Linked DNA regions of Oryctolagus cuniculus. Each later gene encodes a partner of the first gene's protein in a complex. Links are inferred from orthologs where the notes say so. Each region holds a gene or a part of one and is shown in the gene's direction. Other genes may lie near its edges.

Evidence for each region.
Region 2: the proteins of PPARGC1B (region 1) and PPARA are in contact, whole or in part, in a crystal structure (PDB 3SP6), measured with the Homo sapiens proteins. The link is inferred for Oryctolagus cuniculus from reciprocal best matches to the Homo sapiens genes PPARGC1B and PPARA. Residues at the interface, in NP_573570.3 of Homo sapiens: Ser154, Leu155, Leu156, Gln157, Leu159, Leu160, Leu161, Thr163; in NP_001001928.1 of Homo sapiens: Val284, Thr285, Thr288, Glu289, Lys292, Phe297, Leu302, Asn303, Gln305, Val306, Leu309, Pro458, Leu459, Glu462, Ile463.

Annotation. Positions count from the first base shown.
Region 1 is NC_091437.1:37,163,537-37,167,332, forward strand, and holds part of PPARGC1B (peroxisome proliferator-activated receptor gamma coactivator 1-beta), read left to right. Parts: coding exon 1-774; intron 775-1,528; coding exon 1,529-1,565; intron 1,566-2,121; coding exon 2,122-2,186; intron 2,187-3,109; coding exon 3,110-3,796. UniProt on the Homo sapiens protein: Plays a role of stimulator of transcription factors and nuclear receptors activities. Activates transcriptional activity of estrogen receptor alpha, nuclear respiratory factor 1 (NRF1) and glucocorticoid receptor in the presence of glucocorticoids.
Region 2 is NC_091442.1:120,675,654-120,679,549, forward strand, and holds the start of PPARA (peroxisome proliferator-activated receptor alpha), read left to right. Parts: upstream 1-993; 5' UTR 994-1,148; intron 1,149-1,156; exon of another isoform or gene 1,157-1,511; intron 1,512-2,155; 5' UTR 2,156-2,226; exon of another isoform or gene 2,227-2,260; intron 2,261-3,896. UniProt on the Homo sapiens protein: Ligand-activated transcription factor. Key regulator of lipid metabolism. Activated by the endogenous ligand 1-palmitoyl-2-oleoyl-sn-glycerol-3-phosphocholine (16:0/18:1-GPC). Activated by oleylethanolamide, a naturally occurring lipid that regulates satiety.

The DNA of each region.
Region 1 (3,796 bases):
AGCCCTGCAGCAGCCCTGCCAAGCAGGTCAGACCCCAGTCCGGCTCCCGGCACCCCTCCAAAGCCTCCTGGGCCGAGTTCTCCATCCTGAGGGAGCTTCTGGCCCAGGATGTCCTCTGTGATGTCAGCAAACCCTACCGCCTGGCCACGCCTGTCTACGCCTCCCTCACGCCCCAGCCCAGACCCGCACCCCCCAGAGACGGTCAGGCGCCCCCAGGGGGCCCCTCCCCTGTGGAGGAGGTGAGGATCGCGGCTTCACCCAAGAGCACGGGGCCCAGACCCAGCCTGCGGCCCCTGCGGCTCGACGTGAAAGAGGAGCTCAGCTGGCCTGGTGGGCTGCATCGGCCGCGGGAGGAGGACGAGGAGGAGGACGACGAGGAGGAGGAAGAGAAAGAGGAAGATGAGGAGGAGGAAGACGAGGAGGAGGAGGAGTGGGGCAGGAAGAGGCTGGGCCGAGGGGTGCCGTGGACCAAGCTGGGGAGGAAGCAGGAGAGCTCCGTGTGCCCCGTGCGCCGCTCCCGGAGACTGAACCCCGAGCTGGGCCCCTGGCTGGCGTTCACGGACGAGACGCTGGTCCCCACCAAGCCGCCAGGCGCGCTGCCCTCCCTCTGCCCAGCCTCCGAGGCCTACACCATGGAGGGGGACAGCCCCACAGATGAGGACAGTGGCCGAGAGCATGTGCAAGGACCCCAGATCTCTGCCCTGGAGAGTCCCTGCGAGAGCGGGTGCGGGGACACCGACGAGGACCCCGGCTGCCCGCGGCTCCCCTCCGGAGGTAGTCAGGATGGGCAGGTTGGGAGGAGGGGGCGGGGACGGCTGGTAGCAAACCCCGCGGGAGCCCTGTGCCCACGTCTCCCGCCCCCTCTCTGGCTTTCAACTTCTCTTTCTGTACAAGGGGTGGATCTGCGGGGGAGCACCGTACAGCTCTAAGCTTGTCATCATGCCAGGGAGAAGGCGCTGCTCTATGAGCCAAGAGCAAGAGGCCTGCCCTTGTGGGGCTGCTGGGGAGGTGGGGGGGGAGACACAGTCTTCCTGGGGGCGAGCTGTGCACCTGCAGTCACCTCCACGGTCAAGGTGTCTTGTAAACGCTAGTAGCGGTGGTAATGAGGATAATGAGAGGTGCAGAGTAGTCCCCCTGCTGCCAGGCAGTGGTCTAAGGAGTCACATTATTTGCACGGATGCCTCTCAAGGGCCTCCTGCCTTAGGATGCAGACACCGAGGTCCTGTGCGGGACTCCGCCCAGAGCCCTCGGCTGCGGGATTTGGGAACTCTCTGCCGTGGTGCTACTCCATGTGGCCAGAAGGGGTCGCCCTCGGATCCCTGTGCTCTTTCTCCTGGACAGCCCTTTGCACCTGCTGACGTCCTGGGTGTGGGGAAGGTGGCTTTCCGTGCCTGCTCTCCCCTAAAGATGGCAGAAGCCTGTGGGCCACCTGCCTGAGCGGCAGCTGTGCTTGGCACCAGTGGAAGTTTGGGGTCTTTCTAGATGGAAATTTTATTTGTCTTTTTTTTTTTTTTGGTCTTCTTTTCAGAATCTCCCAGGTGCCTCATGCTGGCCTTGTCACAAAGGTAGATTTCTTAACAATGTTTGGTATAGCCGACAGTCTGGGAGGTTTTGCCATGTTGGGTGTTTGTGTTGGGGGTGCTGGGGTGGGGAGGTTCATCAGCCCCTGCCCTGATCGCCATCTGGGGCCCTCAGGAGCTGGGTTTTAGGAACAAGGTCCTGCAGGCCCAGGGGAGGGAGGGAGAGGCAAGGCTGGGGTCACTGCAGAAGCTGTTCCTCTGGGGAAAGAGCGCTTTCCTCCATGGGCAGAAGCTGAGCAGGCTGTGTGACTTTGGGAAAGTCCCTTGCCCCCTCTGGGCCTCGGTTGCTGTCTGTAAAGGAAGGAGGCCGTGAGCCTTGCCTTCTCTATCTTCTGTCCACACAAACCTTGTCTGTGTCCTGAGAGCTGTGCAGCCAGTATGGGAAAGTCCCCGCTGCAGATTGTACCAGGCCCCGTTCCCACGGGCGCCAGAGCCAGGGTCCACCTGGTGTCCCCGTGCCCGCCTTGGGTGCTGGGGGGAGGGGGTGGGAGCTGCTGCTGCTCACTGGCCTCTTTCCTCTCTGTCCTCCTGCCCCCACCAGCGACCCTCCCTTTGGCAAGAAGAGCTTTGAGCAGACCTTGACAGTGGAGCTCTGTGGCACGGCAGGTAAGCAGGGTGGCTCGGCTGCTGGGTGCCTTTCGGGGAGCTGGCAAACCCCTCATGCAATGAGGGGGTGCGCACCAAGCCCTCCCAACCTGCAGCTGTGACAGGTGCTGAGATGCACAATAAGGAGCAGCCTGTGGTCTTGGGGCGGCAGAGCCTCACTCCCTGCTGAGCACCGTCTCACCTGCGCCTGGTTTGAAGTATTGGCAAAAGCCCTGGGATGCAGAGAGGGGCTGGACTGGGCTGGGCAGGGGTGTGGCCTGGGCAGACTTTGCAGGGTACCCCGAGCAGGGCCTTTTGTGCTGGATAAATGGACCCAGGCAAGCCACAGAAGGGCAACAGTGTGCTGGCAGGGAGGGCTCAGAGGGGTGAGGGGCGGGGTCTATCGGAGATGCTGAACCCGGTCTCACTGCGCAAGTCAGAGGTTCACCCTGCGGGTGTTAGGAGCCCCAGAGAGGAAGAGATGGGCATTTCATTGAGTTCTTTTTGGTGCATAGGGAGAGTAGAGGCCAAGGGCAAGGGTAGAATCGCAATAGGGTATGGCCCTGGTCAAGTCTAGGTGGACAGTTTTACCTCTGCTACCTGCTCTGCTCTGTGGTGTTTGGGAGACAGGACTGGGGAGACTTGCTGAGCACTGGCCTGCGGGCCAAAAGAGACAGCTTGGTGACTTGGAGGCTCCAGCTGCCATCAGCAGCCCACAGAGCAGCTGCCAGGTGCATTCCATCCCGTGCCAACCACAGAGAGTTGGAGGGTTCCCGGGGTGCCGTCTAGGCTCGGCCAGCAGCAGGGCGGCCAGTTGGTGACACCCGTGATCCATCAAGCTCAGGGAGTAGGGGCACATAGCCAGCTCTGTGCCTTCCAAATGGGGCTCCTCATGGCCCCAGGGCCAGAGATGCGTCTTGCCTCACAGATGTCTCGTCTTGCAGGGCTCACCCCACCCACCACGCCTCCATACAAGCCCATGGAGGAGGACCCCTTCAAGCCCAACCCCAAGCACAGCCTGGACAAAGACGCAGCTCCCAGCCCCCCATCCCCTGAGGGTCTCCAGCTCGGGGCCGCCCCAGGGGCTGCCCACAAACTGCCAAAGAAGCCCCCAGAGCGGAGCGAGCTCCTCTCCCACCTGCGGCACGCCGCGGCCCCGCCGGCCTCCCAGGCTGGCCAGAAGCGCCCCTTCTCCTGTTCCTTCGGAGACCACGACTACTGCCAGGTGCTCAGGCCGGAGGGTGCCCTGCAGAGGAAGGTGCTGAGGTCCTGGGAGCCTTCCGGGGTCCACCCTGAGGACTGGCCCCAGCCGGGGACCCTGTGTGCCGAGACGCAGGTCCCCGGCAGGGAGGAGGACAGAAGCTGTGCCGCTGGCGGCCCACCCAAGGACAGCGTGCTGCTCAGAGACCACGAGATCCGCGCCAGCCTCACCAAGCACTTTGGGCTGCTGGAGACCGCCCTGGAGGACGAGGACCTGGCCTCGTGCAAGAGCCCCGAGTATGACACCGTCTTTGAGGACAGCAGCAGCAGCAGTGGTGAGAGCAGCTTCCTCCTGGAGGAGGAAGAGGAGGACAGGGAGGAGGAGGAAGAGGAAGAGGACTCAGGGGTCAGTCCCCCTCGCTCTGACCACT
Region 2 (3,896 bases), on another chromosome or scaffold:
GCTGGCCGGCGTGCGCAGGTAGAGTTGGGCAGGCCCGATCGAGCGTGGGTGTCCAGGGGGTGGGGCAGAGTTCACAGCAGTCCCAGCTAACCGACAGGAGTGACTTTCCAAGAAGCTTGCGAAATGGCCCCAAGGCCAGGGTCTGCAGCCCCTGCGCGGCGCGGTGACCTGGGTGGAAGCCGCGCCCGCTCACTTACGAGGTCACCCCGGGAGCCCGCCGCCGCGGCGCTGGGCGGACATTGCACAAGTTTCGTTCCCGCGGCAAGGGGCGCCGGGCGCTGCGCACCCGGAGCGGCTCTGCGCGCTGTCCCCTCAGCCTCGCCACTGGCTGCGGGGCCGCGACCTCCCAGTGCGCTGGCAGGGCCCGCGCGCCTCGCTGGGCACAAAGTCCTCTCTCACCCCCAGGGAACCGGCAGCCGGGGCGGGGGTCGGAGCTGGCGGCGCCTCCCCGCCCTGTCCCCGTTGCCCTTCACACTCGTGCCCACGGCCTGGCACCTCCGCCACCTGCTGACGCGTCCTGGGGCTCTCGGAACGCCCTTCCCCGTCCTCCCGCCCCGCACCCCACGGACTCCCGAGACCCTAGGCACCGGTCCCCGGGCCCTGGCCAAGACCCCCTCGTCGCGCCGTGCGGAGCCGAGTTCCGCGAGCGCTCAGGGCCTCGCCAGCGCGGCACGGGCGCCCGGCGGGACCCTCGCCTCCCCTTCCCCGCCCCCCACGCCAGCCATCCGCGGGGCGACCTTGGGCAGTCCCTTTGCCTCCCGGGCCTCAGTTTCCCCCAGCTCCGCGGCTGCGGGGCGCGCAGTGGGAGTCGCGAGGGCTGTCCCGGCCCCGCCCCCGCCGGCGGCCAATCGGGCGCCGCCGTCCGGTGGGTGCGTCCCGCGCGGGGCCGCGGCCGGGGCCCGGGGCGGGGCTTCCGGGTCGGTCCCGCGCGGCCGGACCGGGCGGGGCGCGCCGAGGGGCGGCGCGTGGCGCGGGCGGGGCGCGGCTGGCACGGGCGGGCGGAGGCGGCGCCGGGCAGGGCCGGGACGCGGCGGCCCCACGGCGCGGGCAAGGGGCGGCGGGGCGGAGGCGGCCGCTAGCGCCCGGCCTGGCGCCGCCTCCCTCGGCGCTCGCCCCGCGGACCAGCAGGCGGCGGACCGCGGGCCCAGGTGCCGGGGGTGGGCGGCGCGAGCGGGGTCCGCGGCGCGGGCCGGGCCGGGCCTCTGCTGCCCCGGGCCGAGAGGGCGGCGGACGCGGACGGGAGGGGCCGGGCGGCGCATGCGCATGGCCCGGGGGCGCGGGGCGAGGGCACTCGCCGGGGACCCGAGTAGGGTCCCGGGACCAGGGGCCGCTCTCGCTCGGTGCCCCTCCAAGCGCCCGAGGCTGTCGGCGGAGCCGGAGACCTCCTGACGCTGGGTCCTTCGGTGTCCCCTGGGAGGCCAGGCCCGCGGCGGGGACGTCGGTGCGCTGTGGAGTTCGAGTGTCACAGAGCTGGGGGCGTTTTCGAGACCCCCAGGGACCCCCGAGGCTAGGTAACTCGTGTCCCGGACAGACTCTCGGCGCCGGTGCGCGCCGTCCTGCAGCCCGACGGGGACACGCGCGCGCGGTTGCTGTCGCGCGCCTGGGCCCCTGTGCGCCGGGCGCCGTGGGCAGCCGCGGGTTCCCCGGCAGGTTCCGCTGGGCTGCGAGGTGTCTTTCCTGTCCCCGGCCTCCCGCGGCTCCTCGGGACCGGTCCGGCCTGGCCCGCTGGAGCGGGTGCAAGGTTGGGAAGGGGGGGTCGGCTCTACCCAGCGCCCACCCTGGTTGGTGGGGGGACCATGGCACGCCCCCACGTTACCCAAACCCCTGTTTAAAAAAAAGTTGAAGAGATGTGCCCCAAATGTCAGGGTTCTTTCTAAGAAAACTCCAGGACTGGGCAGTAGGTGGAGCGCTCTCGGCCGGCTGGGTCTGCACAGGCACCGCGACCCCTGCCACCCCCATTCCCAAGGGAATCAGGGCGCCCCCCGCCCCGCCCCCGCTCGCAGGGCTGCTGGCTGGTAGGGAGGAGGAGCACGGGGCTTCACTGAGAACGACCCTGGGCGAAGGCAGGGTCACCGTGACTTTCCCCTTGCAAGGGCCGGAGGCTGGGGGGCATCCAGGGAACACATTGTAACCGTCTCGTCCTGTCCCTCCTCAGCCAGGGCTGGAGTCCCGGGCCCTGCCTCTGGGAGAAGTGACAAGCTCAGAAGCAAGGCGGTGTCACCGAAGGTAAACAGAGTTTGATTTCAGTCTCCAGGGTGAGGTATGGAAGGGTCTGTTTCCACTGCAGTAAGTTTGGGGGTTAATGGTTTCTTTGTGATGCAAAGCTTTCATGTCTTTTCCCTGTGTCCCAGGAGACCCCGGGATAGGTTTGCTTCTGGGTTCTGAGTTGGGGAGTTCTGATGTGGGTTTGGCTGGCTGCTTTCCTGTGATTCATAGGGAGATGCGGTGACTCTGAGAAGCAGTGCTACTCAGCGGGCGCTGGGGAAGGGCTGTTGTCGTGTGGGGAGACTGCAGGTGACCTGGGGGTCGGGGTCAGCTCCAGAGCCGCAGGCCCGGTGTGGGAGGGTGTGCGTGGTCGCTGCCCACCCGCAGCGGTCTCCAGGACTGGGAGCAGAAGCACGGGAACTGACGGTGGAGGAGGAGGTTTTCTGTTTGCTCAAGTCTGACACGCCTGACCAAGGTCCACCAGCATCATAAAGCAGCCCCTTGCGTGCGTGCGTGTGAGAGACAAGGTGTGAGAGACAAGGAGAAACTGTGTTTCTTGGCAAATACTTTGTGGCTGCTTCATCCCCGGACGCAGCTTCCAGGTGAATGAAATGCGCCTGCATTTGTCTAATACTCCATTACATTTAGATACAATAATTATTTAGCCGGTCCCTGTAGAGACAAGGCTACTTCAGAAAGTTTGTGGAAAGCCGAAACTGAGAAGATGTGAAACGTGTGCGTGGTTTGCTCATAATGGGCATTTTCCACGCACTCTTGGAAAGCCTTTCATATGCACAGATTTCAGACTTTTCTTTTTGTAAAGTGAACTTTTAATTCCGCTTTCCACAGACTTTTAAAATCGGCTCATCATATAGCTACTTCCGGAGTGGCTGCTGTGGGCTACTGTGCCCAGTGTTGAACGAGACCCCCGCGGACCTCTGGTGAAACTGGGTTCCATACTAGAGTATAGACAAAAGCTCACAGATTGTCACCCTTGGTCAGGGTGAGGGGCAGGTGGGCAGGGAGGGGACATTTTGGCAGGGCTGCTTTGTGCGTTGGGTTGGCGGTTGGTGACCTGGGCCCTTTCTCTTGCCTGCTGCCCGTAAGCGCCTGTGTTTTATATATATGTATATGTATACGTGTGTGTGTATACATACATATATATATACATGGATTTATAATAATCCTTTTAAAAACACATTAATCACAATGTTTCTTTGTTGAAAACAAAGTTTGAACATGCCAATTTTTCTCTTTTGCCTTTCATAGACTGTGTGTGAGTGGGGAAATTCTTCATGGCAAATGGGATGCGTGGCTTCGCTTCCAGGTGGCTGGGGTCTTAGCTTCACGGCATGCTAAGGGTGTGGCCCTGCAGTTAGTGCAAGTGGCCTGAGGCTGCTCTCTTGGAATGTGAGGGTCTCTGTTGCGCTTTCTGGTTTCCGTGGCTTGGGATGGAGTCAGTGTTTCACAAGGCATGGCATCTGTCCCTTCAGCCTTATTAGTTACGTAGGGGAGCGAGGTCACCTTGCAGGCCGCGTGGCTGGGGAAACCCCAGCTCAGAATCTGATTTTCCAGTTTGGTGAGAGGAAGGCTTGAAGTGAGGACTAAGTAGCAGAGGTGGCGGATCGGAAAGAACTTGTCTCCTCCACGTGTCAGAGTCGTTGGCCTGCCCTGAGCTGCGCCGTGCGCTG